2 linked regions of the Oreochromis niloticus genome follow. The protein of the gene in region 1 interacts with the protein of each later gene in a pairwise test. Links are inferred from orthologs where the notes say so. Each region holds a gene or a part of one and is shown on either strand. Other genes may lie near its edges.

The links.
Region 2: the proteins of coiled-coil domain-containing protein 172 (region 1) and hddc3 interact in binary tests that used the Homo sapiens proteins (3 or more experiments, as listed by UniProt). The two-hybrid records come from large-scale screens. The link is inferred for Oreochromis niloticus from reciprocal best matches to the Homo sapiens genes CCDC172 and HDDC3.

What each region holds. Positions count from the first base shown.
Region 1 is NC_031978.2:4,575,852-4,584,212, reverse strand, and holds the start of coiled-coil domain-containing protein 172, read left to right. Parts: upstream 1-5,001; 5' UTR 5,002-5,140; coding exon 5,141-5,219; intron 5,220-5,402; coding exon 5,403-5,488; intron 5,489-7,714; coding exon 7,715-7,831; intron 7,832-8,361. Other genes in the region: gfra1a (GDNF family receptor alpha-1a), read right to left, coding at 216-512, 988-1,027.
Region 2 is NC_031965.2:1,541,647-1,548,843, forward strand, and holds hddc3 (guanosine-3',5'-bis(diphosphate) 3'-pyrophosphohydrolase MESH1), read right to left. Parts: upstream 2,688-7,197; 5' UTR 2,566-2,687; coding exon 2,454-2,565; intron 1,277-2,453; coding exon 1,221-1,276; intron 1,139-1,220; exon of another isoform or gene 1,134-1,138; coding exon 893-1,133; exon of another isoform or gene 847-892; intron 715-846; coding exon 584-714; 3' UTR 501-583; downstream 1-500. Other genes in the region: vps33b (vacuolar protein sorting-associated protein 33B), read left to right, coding at 3,078-3,173, 3,969-4,049, 4,163-4,224, 4,310-4,359, 4,482-4,549, 4,640-4,685, 4,765-4,859, 5,465-5,569 and 6 more. UniProt on the Homo sapiens protein: ppGpp hydrolyzing enzyme involved in starvation response.

The DNA of each region.
Region 1 (8,361 bases):
TGGGTTTGTGACAACCCCAGAAAATTATTATAACAACATTAGATGACAATGAGCTACTTTTTAAATTCTATGATAGACCTTTAAACTATAACAACACAAATCTATAGTTTAATTAGAAGATGGTTAAATAGTTCTAAACATAAATCTGTAGCTCGGGGTCGTTTATTTTGTACAAGAACACACACAAAAAAAGTTCCACTAAAATCTAAGCCAACCTTGTAAACTCTGATACATCCCCCAGTAAATGCGCAGGCAGTTCTTCTCCTTCTTCATGCCCCTTTTACACCGGCAGTTGTACAGCGGGCTCTGTTTGAGCGCGTCAATCGCGCTCCGGCACTCGTCCTTGGCTTCCAGGCCGGCCACCATGCTGAAGTTGCTCTCCTTGCCGCCGGCCACGCACTGCCTCATCGTGCGGTATTTGGTGCTGCACGCCTGCTCCTTCAGACACTGCTCATTGGCCCGCACGCAGTCCAGCCGGGCACGCAGGTTCTCCTCCGCGTAAGACAACACATCTGAAAAATAAAAGTTTTATCCGTCGCGTGTTTTCTCACTTTCCCAGTAAACACTGGAAGCTTAAGCAATTTTCAAGCTGCTTTAGGGATTAAAATATTACACAAATATGAGCTTTTATTATGAACACGCCACATGTAGGTCGCCACAAAAGAGTACACGGGCTATTTTTTGGACCCACTATTTTGGAGCAGTTATGCACATAGTTGCCTAACTGGCACTTTCATTCAGCTGAAAGTAGAGTATAAACTGCTGTCACATTCACTGTTGTTTGTTGAGGCACTGACAGCTCATCAGAGTTTTTCTTTTTGGAGCAGTTTACTGCACAGTTGCGACCACACTGTACTGCGAGCAGCCGATGCGTCTGCCGGGCACCTCTTTATTAATAGAGCGCAGAATGTCGCTACTAAATATTTGATGAAACTCTATAATCAATTCGAAGCGAGCAGCTGCTGGTGCGAATCAACTTAAACTTACCTAAAACAGGAAGAAGAACATAAAACACAGCGAGGATCATCGTTTTCCTCTGCGTGGGAAACAAAAACCCTTGTTGGAAGGTAATTTCTTAAGTTAATGCAAATTAACAATAGTTAAATTCCCAGGGTACTTCCACTGTATTGAAATCCATTGAAAAGGTGCAGCACTGCGCGCTCCTCTGTATACAGGACAGATCCGGCTCGCCTCATGCGAGAGATAATTTCCCCTCCAAACAAAGTGTCCAGTCCCGATTTCTGCTCTTTCTTTGACTCAATGGAGAGAGAGAGAGAGAGAAAGAGAGAGAGAGAAAAGAAGCGCTTCTTTTTTATGTCCTTCCCGGGCGGGTTTGTCTTCTCACCGCGAGGAGACAAAGACAAGGGATGAGAGCAGCGGTGGAAGGCGAAAAAACCGGCGAGTGTCCTCCAACTCCAGCCAGTGGGATGCTTGCGTCTGTGCGTCTGAGCGCACACAGCCAACTGGAGTCCCACTGCTGTCTAGCGCATTCAGCAAGGAGGAGAGTGCCAGCTTCCCCCTCGCGCTAAAGTACAGTAATCTGATCATAAATTTACAATGATAGACCTTCCCATCAGAGCAAACTCGCCCCCTTTTTTACCACAATCTCAGCACAAAAAGTCAATCGTGAACTTTTAGCCCACTTAACTGAGTAATGAACCAAATAATGTAGAATATGCTTTAGCGTTATGATAATTTTATTTTTAATAAACTTTCCATGACAAGTACTATTAAAATGGCCACTTTTGGTGTATTTTAACTGCTGTTGCGTGCACGTAATTACATTTTTTTTTTTTTTTTTTTTTTTTTTGTAAAGGGGAACCTGCTCTAACAACCATTAATGTGAATGTGAATGTGTGTGTGTGGTGTGTGTGGGGGGGGGGACGGGGGGGCTCGGTTCACATTTGACTGTGCATAAGCTGCACTGATGGGGAGAGGGCAGAGAGCATGGCTCCTGTGTATGTTTATGACATGATTGATATAGCAACACGTGGAGATGCTTATATGGCAGGGGTGTTTTGTTTTTGTTTTTTTAGATGTGAAGCACCTTTTGAACCTGGAGCGAGAAGGTGGGACGGATGTATTTCAGCTGTTTAGTCAATACTCCACACATATCACGCATTTGTGACTCCTCCCAGCTTCATATCGTTTTCATATTATTTGCAAATACCAAGATTAAAAGAAAAAAAGTGTTATGCAACAGTAGTTACCAGCTGTGAAGACAGAGGACTGTTAGGTGTTTGCTCATGTCAGAGGTATGATATAATGTTTTTGATAGTTGACAGCAGCCTGACAGCGCTGCGCTGGGAAAAACCTGCCCTCAGTCTGACACAGAGGAGAGTGGACACTGGGACACTGTCGCCATCTGTTGGTGATTTGAAAGAAAAGTCACTGTGGTGCTTGTGGTGATGGACAGCTCAATTTATTGTCACATGTATAGAAAGGCAACAAACTGATTATTACAAAAACAGGGATGACTGAGCTGACTGTGAGATGACTGTGTACTGTATTTATTCTTATGTGTACTGTATTTATTCTTATTGTATTCTAATTTTTGCTTCATAACTTTTGCACTGTCCACTTCCTGCTGTGACAAAACAAATTTCCCACGTGTGGGAGTAATAAAGGTCATCTTCTCTTATCTTATCTCATGATACATCATGGCACTGCACTCTTCCTGTAACTCACTGATTGCCTCTATGGTATATTTAGGGGCTAATCCACTTGGATAAATACGTATGTCAAGGAGCCTCTCTCTGCATTAACGACTGAGGCTGAATCAATCACGCATCCTGCGCCCACAGCAGTAAATCAACTGCACGTGTATATATATTTAGAGAGGCATGGAGCAGGTTCATTCACAGATGGGCTGTGAAGCAGCTGATTTGAACGTCAGTGACTAATCCCTTATGGAAAATGAAGTCCTGGTTAGGTTGGTACAGGTCAATGCTGCAGGCTACATTGACATGACACAGCCCAGTGTCCATGGATATTATTAAAAAGAGAACATGACTGGAAAAGAGACAGAAAATGAGATGAACGGCAGGCTCAGTCCGCACTGTGGGATAATTGTCTGCTTACAATTTGATGACTTTGCTGTTCTAACATCTCCAAAGGGAAGCTTGCCAGTCAGGGGGGAGGCTCAGTCTGGTGATTTATGAAAAAAGCCCTAATCAATATTTGATATTAATTTTGTAAATGAATGTCAGAATGATGTAGCCCTCTGGTCGTTTAACTGTTTTGCACAGTAATGTGTTTTATGGCACCGGATCAGAGGCTTTTTCTTTTTTTTTTACTAGAAACCTGGTCAAAGTCTGGAATTGTGTGACAAATGTAGGCAGCAGGTGTAGATGGATTACTCTGAGAAAGCTGACTGCGCCGATACAGCACTTCATAACACTCAACAGTCAGGCTGAGTGGGGACTGATAAATGTCAATGTACTGCCGGTCACTATAGTTAGGCAGTACTTCTCTAATTTATATTACCAGCAGATACAGGACAAGGATGATGACTCTGAAGAAGGAAAACGTCAATTTAATTGCTGACTTGAAGATTTAACACAGGTTGAGTTGTGATTTATCTGATAAATCCATGAACTATCTACAGTTAACTGAGGCTTTATCCGGGACATAAATAATTCGCTGATTGATTGTGTTTTTCTTTTTTTTAAATTTTTATTTACTTAGTGAGGATAGGTTAATTGGTAACTCTAAATTTCCCATAGGTATGAATGCGGGAGTGAATGTAAGTGCGAATGGTTGTCTCTGTCTACGTGTTAGCCCTGCGACAGACTGGCGACCTATCCAGGGTGTATCCCGCCTCTCGCCCTAAGACAGCTGGAATAGGTTCCAGCCCCCCTGCGACCCTGAAAAAGGATAAGCAGAAGCGGATGGATGGATTTAATTTAAATTTCCCAGTTTTTATGTATGTAGATGGGCAGTTTTTGAGGGTCCTGCACAGTATCTTAGCTGCTCTTCTGGACGGAGATGTCGGATGTTGTTCCTTGGATCTGTTGGAGCCACTCGCCTAGCTTGGGGGTCACTGCACCTAGCACTCCAATTACCACTGCGACCACTGTTACCTTCACCCTCCACATCTTCTCGAGCTCTTCTCTGAGCCCTTGGTATTTCTCCAGCTTTTCATGTTCCTTCTTCCTGATGTTGCTATCATTCGGTATTGCTACATTTATAACTACAACCGTCTTCCTCTGCTTGTCCACCACCACAACTATGTTCAGTATGTTAGCTTTTACCAGTTTGTCCATCTGTATGATGATATTTGCGGGTGTTACATACTGTGCAGGGGCCTGTCCTTTCATGATGGTTCCTCCTCTTGGAGGAGCAAGAGGGAACCATCATGAAAGGACAGGCCCCTGCACAGTATGTAACACCGGCAAATAGAAGAAGTGACTGATATTGAGAAATCCTACCAAGGGCCGGACAAAGCTGAACTGAAAGACAGCACAGAGGCACTAATCATAGCAGCACTGGAACACGCTCTGAGTATAAGATCAATAGAGGCTGGAGTCTACAACACTACTACTTACTACTTACTTACTAGCTTTCTATAATCACTTCCACTTGCCTGAACTTGACCTAATGTCTCATAATGTGACTCACTGATTATGTGTGTGTGTGTATTAAAACCATTTCTTCTTCTCCTTCTTCTTCTTATTAGTAGTAGTAGCGGTATTTCTTCAGATTTTGTACTGCTATAATGGAGGAATTTTCCAAATATAGAATCTATAAAGTATAAGAGTATAAAGTATGAGATTGATTTATTTATTTTCAAAGGAACAGTCTTTATAATATTTAATGTCAATATCATGATATCAAACGTCAAATTTAATTTAAAATAATTGAATAAGCAAAACTAAAACCAAACATTTTAAGGACACAATAAAAGCAATGACTCCTGTCTGGAAACTACGACTACTAAAACTAAAGCTAAATATACTGAACTACAAATACAAATTAAAGTTAAACAAAAAAACAAAAAAAACTAATTAAAAAATGTTGCAACAATGTCACAATTATAAGCTACCTCAGTCATTCAGACTCTTTGTCCTGACAGAAATAAGCCTCCTTAGATTAGATGGTTTGCTAGCTAACTGTTTATTGACCCAGCTACTAAGCCAACATGAGTTTAGACACACTTTTTCAACAAATTCTTTTAACTGAGCAACAGTTAGCAGAACAGACACAAAAAATCAAGGATGGTAAGTTTTGTTTATTTCTGTCAATCTGTTTGTTTTTTGCTTAATTATCAATCTTCAGCTAGCAAATAAGCTAACAGCTAAACGCTAGTGAAAATGCTAAATATAGATCTATACAGGCTACTGTATTTTAATGTTTAATGTTGCATCATGTGTTGTTGTTGTTGTTTTTTTAATGTTCTTTAGTCAAAATAGCCATCATCAGATGCAATGAGAGGATAAAGAGTGTCACTGAACAGTATGGGAAGAGCAAAGAGGAACTTGATGAAAAGGTGAAACTGTTGCTAGTTGATGCTAACATGTGAATTACATATATTTTGTGACCAGAGCCAAAGCCATAGCACTGTGTTTAAGATGCTTACATTTATTAGATTTTAGATATAAACCATTTGGTTCTTCAAATAACCCTCTGTGTGAATGGTTGTCGTAGTTTACTGAGCTTTAAACAGATTCATCATATATAATGTCTTAAATGATCTTGAACGGTGTTTATTAAATATTTACACAGTAGCTGTAAAATCATGTCATAGGGTGATGGAAAGTGTTCACTTGTTGCACTGTATTTTAGAGTGAGCCCCTGTAAATAGGTCTGTTTCATGGTACTGTGATTTATTACATAACAGCTTTATGTTTACACAGCTCAGTGCTCATTTCAGAGGTGCCATATTATTTAATTTCTAATAAAAATTAGTAAAATGTTGTTCCTGGAATGTTTTACCTGGGATTAACATAACATCTGTATATATAACAAATATAATTAATATTTATTTTTTTGTGGTTTCCAAAAGGAAACAGGCCATTCTACTTATCACCACCATTACAAAACTAAAAAAATGCACACATTGTAAAATATAAATAGAAACTGATGAATTTTAAAAAAAATCAGACATTGAACTATCAAAGCAGCACAGTGCCATATTGATGAGCTGATCTAGTTTATAATTTAAACACTTAATCTCTACCTTCTTTTATCAATGATCAATAGCAAATGGCACTGTAAAATCAATGGCTTATTTCCCCAAATAACATTACTGAGACGTTTCGTGATATTATGCCCCATTACAGAAACAAGAAAAAAAAGAGGCTCTTTGCTCTTTTCACATATATTGCAAGGACGACACCATGCCCGACTGATCATTTGAAAACACATGGCAGTGGTATCTTTTTTTTGACTATTGAGACTGTTTACATCATGCAGATATGCAGGCTGTGTTTACTGCACAGTGTGTTTACAGCTCTCATGATGTAAGGTCTTATGGTTTATGAGAGCTGTCTTAAGATAATTACAGTGTTTATAGGACTTGGAAGCTGATTGTGCTCACGGAAACATGCTGCACTTCAGTATTACAGCAGAAGAAAAGCAAAGCTACTTTCTCCTCTTTAGCTCAAGAAACAGACTGAAAATTGCACCAAAAGTTATGCCCAAGGCAAGAATCTACCTTCCTACATAATCGCTCTTTCTTTATGTTTATATCGATTTAAAAAGAGAATTTTTGCTGAACTAGTTAAAGAAACAGGATGTTTTTGGTTACATTTTCAAAATAACTCCAGTTATTATGTCTGTTATGTCTGTCTCTAATAGTCGGTTATAGAGTATATACTGATTGTTCCAAACTAGGGCTACGTTCACACTGCAGGCGAAAGCGCATCAAATCCGACTTTTTGACCCTATGCGACTCATATCCGATCATGGTATGACAGTGTGAACAGCACAAATCCGATATTTTCAAATCCGATCTGGGTCACTTTTGTATGTGGTACTGAATCCGATACATATCTGATGTTTCAGAAAGCGACTGCTGTTTGAACGGTCATGTCCCATTAAATCCGTCTTTTACGTCACTGACACAAGACAGACGCCAATTATCAGCACCAGAGAACTGCCCGAGAAGACATCGTGAACGCTTCCTGGCCATCCCGTGTAGATGTTAGTGAAACTGTTGGGAAGACAACGTTGGAGAAACGTGAACATTTTATTTGTACTGTATAATCTGCAGATTCTGACAGAAATCTGTAACTATCCTTTGAAGCACCGCTCCTCTAAAACAGCAATAAGGATAATTATTGGGCCATGTGTAAATAACAAAATAACTTTATAACTTAAGCAAAATTGGGAAACGTAAAGTCCAAAACAAGTCTTTATATTAAGGGCCATCAGTCAAACAATACTGTTTGGTCTGGGTCTAAACAGAGCGCGTTGTGTGTGACGTCTTCTTTTGCGCATGCGGGCCGCTTTTAGGGTTCACACTAGAGCGTGTTTGCTGTCACATTTTATTTGTAGTATGAACAAGCAGACAAAAAAATCGGATTTGATCAAAAAATCAGAATTGAGCATTAAGACCTGCAGTGTGAACGTAGCCTAGAACTTTGATCTCATTTCACCCCGTCTGGTATCAGGTGATATCGCTCACATACGAAGCATCACCAATCCATCTCCCTCGCTGTACATCTGTCTGTCAGACTGTGTGTCTTGATCATCTCCTGTATTTATGCTTCAGGCTCAGCAGTTGTCTGCAATGAGGCTGCAGTATGACCTGGCAAAGAAATATGAGAACCAGATGTTAAAGCAAATTGAAGAGCTGCTCTGTCAGAAGAGCCACCTCAGGGAGCATCTAGTAGGTTGAAGCCTGGATCAATACTTACCTCTCAAATTAGACAGGTTGTATCCAATATGGATACCTCTTCAGCTTTAATAGTTTAAACTTCTTGATTGAATCACAGTACTATATGGAATGACCCGATCAATTAATCAGTGATTGCACAGATCAAAAAAGTGGTACCCTTCAGAGATGTTTGTATTTTCGTAGAAACTGAGTTTGACATTTTAGAATTGCTTGTTTAAAATTCCAGAGGTTTAAACTAGGTTATGTAAAAAGAGTGTAAACTCAGAGCTTCATTTTAGAAGCGGGTAATTTTTTTTCTCATTTAGGATTATCTTATTTTTTATACTATCCCCACTTTGCTGCTAAAGTAACAATAGCTATTGCAAGCCCTGTCACAACCCGTTTTCACGCAGCAGGTAAAATGCAGAATGCCACCAAAAAAGGTGGCATTCTGCATTCAACACATTAAGCTCTTAGAGCAAAGATTTTCTTTTTTTCCAAATGTTATCATAATTATATAGTAAAATTAAGTCTGTAGTACC
Region 2 (7,197 bases), on another chromosome or scaffold:
GTGTAACAGCGCCATCTGCAGGCTGCTGAGCTAAACATTCATTCTTTTTGTACGAATAAATTCAATTATTTATTGTTTTCTTGGTTAAAAAGTAGAATAATTTCTAATAATCCGATATGTTTTAAATGTGGACATGTAACATGTAAAGGAGTTACTAAAACTATTAATGAAATAGAGATATCAGGTCGATTCAAGAGAAAATACTCAAATGAACTACATCTCCTTGTTGTTTTATATTAGCTTATTTATTTTCTTTTAAAGAAAATTACTGAGCATAAAATGTATAGTGATAGTGTGCCAAATTGTTTGCTTTGTGTAATGCAGTCCTGCAAATGTGTGTTATATCTAAATAGGCTTATTTTTAAACGGACCATCACAGTGCACAAGCTACAATTGCCAAATGAGGAGTAACATCTTTTACTTTTTAACTACTAAACACCACAACATCAGACATTCAACTTTCCTGCAAAACCATGCACAGAAAATTAGACACTGTAATGTAAATTCAATTTGATTTATTTTGAATATTTACAAACTAAAAAGCATTTTATTTGCATTTCTCCACTGTGTTGTGGCCCTGCTGTCAGAGCTGGACTCCTCTCTCTTTAAAGAGTTCCTCCAGCTTCTTCTCCAGAGCTGAATTGGTTCCTTTCAGGCCTTTCACCACCTCAGAGGCCCACAGGAAATACTCCTGCACCCGCTCAGCTGTCCAACCTGCCAAACACATTCAGAAACATAACTGAACAACATTTGATATGTTGTCTTTTGCACTTCTGCCAAATAAATAAAGTGTTCCAAAGCATTTCATCCTCTTCATTTTGTATTTTTATTTATTTTTTTACACAGCATTCCATTTTGTAGCAAACAGCACTGTGTCCAGAGAAGTACTGACCAACAGGAGTGCAGCGGTTCAGATCCCTCAGGTTGTACAGTTTATCAGCCAGTTTAACCAGCTTGGCCTGTTGGCTGCAGTGAGGTGCGTGTTCCACCTGTAGACGCTTCCTCTCCTGCTTGGGCAGGCTCTTGTCATCCGTCACCTCCTGAACAATGCGAGCCACGGTTACCCCAAATTTAGCTTCCAGCTCTGCGGGGGTGGTGTCGGTGTCTTCTACTGTATCATGAAGCAGGGCGGCCTGCAGAGCGGGAGGAAGCACATGGGATTACTGATGTGAGAATGCGTGCACGTGACTGTGACTAACAGTTAACAACTGATAACTCACCTGCAAAACCTCGATGTCTGTGACGCCCCCTTCGTGGCTGAGGATTCTCGCCACTCCTTAAAAGCACACACAGAAAGTTGTGAGTAGCAGAGAGGACAGTAAACAAGAAGCTTCACTGTTTCCAGGCTGCTAAGAGAAGTCACTTATAGAACAAGAAAACTCATTTATAATCAGACATTTCCTCTCTGAAGAGCTCCTTCAGAACTTTAAGTTTCTACACAACATAGCTCATAGCTCTCATCTGTAAGTAGGAAAATAAAACTCACACAGAAGAAGTGGACGAACCACCAGAAACTTCCTTTACACACAGGGACAACAAGGAGGGAGCTTAATCACTGGCTGCCCATCTATGGCACTCCTGCCTAACACCAAAATAAACGAATCCACTGAACTGTAGTCTCAAAAGATATTTTGAAACAATCACTAGCTCCTCTTTTGCATAATAAAGCAGAATGTCTAACGAAATGTAAAAATACAAATTTGGGGGGGGAGAGGGTTAAAAAAACAAACAAAGACAATATAATAAGAATAGATACATGGAAAATTAGATGAGAGGGAAAATAATTCATGTTTTTCAGTATTATTTTTGGTGCATTTCTTTATCCTTTCAAAGCTTGTCCCTTTAAGTCCCCCACAGCTCTAGTGGTCTGGAGCCCTGACAGGAAAAGCACTGCCAAGTGCTATCATTAGCTCAGCAAAGAAAAACGGAGCAGTGGGTAGTGGGGGAGATATTAGGTTCGTTGCAATCTGCAGCCTCACCACTAGATGCCGCTAAATCCCCTGCACACAAAAAGCCATTAGTTTTGTACGCCTGAACAAAAAACCGGATCAATCGTCCTCCACCTCCAACGTGAGACTATACACTGTGTGCCGAGCACACAGCCGAAAAATAACGTATCGCTATTACACGGCAGGCTATTATCACCAGAATCAAAATAAAGGCACTCGTGTTAATTGAAATATAGTTTCTGCAAAACTATTTGTTGCCATAAAATGGTAAACACTAAATATTAGTGATATAGCTGCAGTATGCGAGTAAACCCTGATAACTTTACTGGTTAGTTCTGATCGTACCGCTCCTTTCGGCTACTCCCTCCTTCCACGGCTTCCGGTATCGTATCAGTTAAACATCAGAAACTTTTTTTTCTTTTTCTTTTAAAGATAAGAGTGAGAGACTTCACGGGTTTACGTACAGGCCGTGAATGCATCATACTACCGTAAAAACACACCTACCTATGGGGTGATTTATATACGGCGTTTCCTCTGGATCTTTACGTTTCTGGTTGCGGTGTTTCTCTGCGGCAAATTGGACAGTTTCTAACAATAAAGCTGCATCTGAGTTCATGGTGTAAAAATCACGTCCTGTCAGGTCAGTAACAGAAAAACCGCGTTGTTAGGTGAATTAATTTTCAACGTCTTTCGAGCAAAACTGTGGCGGTCCGTTCGTATTATGATCCGGGGGGAAACAACTGGTCGTGGGATCATTCCAGTTATTTAGCTACGGAAGCAGGTAGCTGCTAACATAAGATATAAGATAAAGTGTTATGTTTCAAAAGACATAAACGGTCAAATTTCTGGCATTAATTTTATATTTTTGGGGGAAATTTTTACACACTAGTGTCAGCGTATTCGATACTTTATATCTTCATTTATGTGATGAATGTGATTTTAGCTTTGAAGCTAAGCCAGCAGGGAGGATAATCACAGCACAGATCTCTGACTGTTCTATATGTTTCTGCTGGTTTTTGTATCTCCATTATTAAACATTATATTTGTATATGAGTTATTTATTTATTTTCTTTGTTTATGCCAGCCGTGGATGACTGAGTGTTGTCCGGCCTCCGTCGTGTGTCCAGCATGGCTCACAGTGCCAGGAGAGACTCCCCGGAGCTCCCCGACTTCTCCATCCTCAAGAGGCTGGCCAGAGATCAGCTCATCTACCTGCTGGAACAGGTAGGAGCAAGTCACAGCTTCTGCTGAAGACATGCTCATCAGTAATATGACTGGCATGTATAGCATGCATATGGCACTGTTCTTCTTTTTTGTTTTTTATTATTATACTTTATCATTTGACTGCACACCCATTCACGAGCAACACGTCTGTTGGTATCGCTCAGAGCACAGAGGACCTCACTGGCCACCACAGACTCATCAAACATCCTGAGCAGCGTCCGGTGGATGTTGAAGGACCTCAGTGATGTCAGAAAATAGAGACTCCTTTGGCCTTCTGTGCTTTTAATGAAGTCTACTGTATTTCTTGTTTGTTTTATAGAATTATAACTTGTGTTTATGGAGATAACAATAAACCGTTTGTCTGGCAGTGGCTTTTAAAAGTGCCCACCAGCTCATGGAGTGATTTCTGCTGCAGAATCATGTCTATTTCTAATGCAGTGCTGCTGGAAAGCCAAAGATTGCAGCCATTTGCTTGAGATTTTATGTTGAGAAATATTACTCCTATATGCTGAACTATACTGTCTTCACATGAAAATTGTCCCCACCAAACTACAGTTTACTTTTGCCATAGGAGTCAGTTTTACAGTTTAATTTTATTTAATTAGGCAAAAATGAACATTGTCAGAATCAGTGGAGAAAGTGTAGAAACTGTGTGCAGACTAAGCCATGCACGCATTAGTTTGTGATGTACTTCAGACTCGGTGAAGACAAAAAACAGGAACTACAACAAAACAAGGGATGCTTTTTGTGTTGTGAAGAGCAGATTGTCTTACAAGCCCCTTTCTTGTGTCACAGCTGCCCGGGAAGAAGGACCTCTTCATTGAGGCAGACTTGATGAGCCCGCTGGATCGTATTGCAAATGTATCAACACTAAAGGTGAACCGCATCAGCTGCTGCTCTCCTGCCTGTTCTGATAGGGCATCTCTTCAGGATTACTGCACTTTCAGCAGGTCTTTAAAAGCTTTTTGTCTCCCCCCTTTTTCTTTCAGCAACATGAAGTGGACAAACTGTACAAAGTGGAACACAAACCTGTTATCAGCACCTCAGATCAGTGAGCCTGCACCTTCATACCTTACAGAATTGTAACCACACACCTGACGTGCCCACCTGACAATGTGGCGTTGCTCTTTTTCCAGGCTCTGTTTCCTGATCCGACCAAGAATACAGACTGTCAAATGGATATGTGGTAAACGGAGATTCTTTTTATTTTTCTATCATCTCTTGTCTTGGTGGTTTTAATATGAAGTCTTCCAGTGAAAATGGATGAAAGCTGAAGCGAAGTGACATCTGCATTCTTTCTTGTTGCAGATGTGGTGAACGCAGACAAGGTACCTGGAAAATCCCGAAGATACAAGATCATCTTTACCCCTCAGAAGGTATTTCTCTTTCTTGTCTTGTGTCTGTGCTGTATTTGTAATGCCTCGCGTGCTTGATACTGACCTGCTGACCCTTCTTTGTGTTACCAGTTCTATGCGTGTGAGGCCGTGCTGGAGGAGCAGGGGATCTTTGGCGGTAGGCATCTTTCTCTTTTTGCAGGAATGATGAGTGTGAGTGAGGAGAAGTGTAAAAGCTGTTTTTGCCTTTCCTGTAGATGTCACCATAGATGAGTGGCCTTTCTACCTGCTTCCTCTTGATGATGACATCATCAGTCTGGAGCTGCCAGAATTCTTTCAAGACAACTTCCTGGTTAGTAGAGGCCAGTTGCTTGTATTGATCATTTGATCACTGATCATTTAAATCCTTTTCTAGTCAATGTTTTAGTCGTCATTTGTTAATGTGAAGAGGTTCTGTAGCAGTACACAGCTGTTTCCCCCAAATGATGAAAAGCAAAGAAAAGAAAATGAATATTGGCCTCGCATGCTCTTGTTGGATACACACATGACTTGTTGCTCTGCATCAGTGTTTGATTCAGTTTTAGTCTTTTGAATAAAACGTCATAATTTACATAATTTACATTTACAGAGCGTCTTATTTACCTTGACATCCAAACATGTTTTTGTGAGAAACACATGAGAGCTGCTGCTTGTCCAGATGTGACTTTCATTCCATTTACATTCCATCACACTTTTTGTCCTCGAGCTTCAGTTTTGAGTTTTTGTCGTTTCTTTCTTTAAATTCCTCATATCTGAAGCTGACAGCACAAAGGAAGTCTGGGTGTTGTAGTGTTAATAATCATAGTGCAACAAATCATCACATTTGAACTGTTCGTTGCTGGATTTATAAGCCCGTAGTTGAATCAGAAGTGTAACACAAAATCTCTGAGGGTGCAGATAAATCCTGTATTTTTCCAGGCCGGAGACCAGCGCTGGGTGAGGACCGCCGGCAGTGCCCTCCACCTCCTGTACTCCCTGTACGGCCCATTCTCAAAGGTCTACGGGATTGGGCGCTGCTCCAAGGTGCCGTAAGATTAGAAACCAGAAGCTAGTCGGATCAAACCAGTTTAACTTTTTCACATCCAGTTTGTCCGTCGCCTGCTTTGGGCTGTTGCTGATGGTAATCCTGTGTGATCCCAGATGGCGTACGAGTCATGGAGGGAGCAGGTCGAAGAGGGAGAACAAAAAGCTCGTCAGGCTGAAATTGGGAATGTTTTCCTTATTGACAGAGGTGAGGAGACGTGGTGATCTCAGAGGACGAGGGCCGCGCCGTTCCCGTTCTAATGTCGTCGTTATCATTGCAGATGTGGACTTTGTCACTCCTCTGTGCTCACAAGTTGTCTACGAAGGCCTCGTCGATGACATCTTTAGAATCAAATGTGGTAGGTGTCAGTAAATCAAATCCATTTACACGTTCACTTTATTGCCTCAGAGAAACACGTCACCTCTGACCTCTTGAGCAGAGCGTTTCGCCCTCACATTCTTAGCTCTTTTGAAGCCACGCCCTCCCCGGCTGGGGGATTTAAAAAAAAATATCCATATGTTGTCTGATCATTCCAACTACTGTGCAGGATGTGTGGAGTTTGGACCTGATGTTACCTCCTCTGACAAAAGTGTGAAAGTGATGCTGAACTCTCAGGATAAGGTAAGGCTCGTCTTAGTCTGCGGTCGGCTGCGCTTTACTAATTGTCGTGATTCTAATAGAAAAGTGTGTCTAATGTTTCGTAGGTGTTCAGTGAAATCAGAAATGAGCATTTCTCCAACGTCTTTGGTTTTCTCAGTCAGAAAGCCAGGAATCTGCAGACTGCATATGACGTGAGTGAATGTTGATACTGCTTAGCAATCATTGCACCTGTGGCTCGATTTAGAGAATCTTTGTACGACACAACCTTGAAAAATGGCATTTATATTTGCATTGGTGCGTTACGTGTTAATTACCTTGTGGTCGTGTTTTATGTGCGATGCCAGCCAATAGAAACAAATAAAATGCTCCTGCGTCTCCGCTCTCTGTTTAGGTCAGCAAACATTGATCTCGCTCCAGGAATTTGCTGGAGTGACGTTTGTGAGTCCTTATCTTGACGCTTTGACGCTATAATTGTTATTGTCTCAAAAACTACGACAAAAAAGTATCTGGAAATTGGCCAGAGGATCTGACGGTGCTGAACCCCTCGCAGTAGTCGTGGGCTGTGTTGATGCGACGTGTAGTTACATTTAGTTACATAGTTACATAGTGTCAGGTTACCCTGCAGCATTAGTGAGGATAATAGCTAACACCTTTTGTCTGGTTTTCTTTAATAACTATACAGAAACGTCGGGGGATGGACATAAAGCAGATGAAGGCGTTTGTGTCAGAGGAGCTGAAAGGGTTAAAGCAGGAACATCGACTGCTGAGCCTGCGTGAGTGTTACAGTATCGTGCCGCTGACTCTGAGTAATATCTGCACGGCTGCGTTGCTGAAGAGCGTTTTCTCTTCCAGACATTGGTGCCAGTGAGTCGATAATGAAGAAGAAAACAAAGCAGGACTTTCAGGAGCTGCTGAAGACAGAACACTGTAAGAATCCTCCGCTCTGCTCTTTGTTCCAATCACGTTTCATTTAAGGGACTTTTAACGCCTGAAAGCACAAAACAAGCTCCATGTTTGTTGGTTTCAT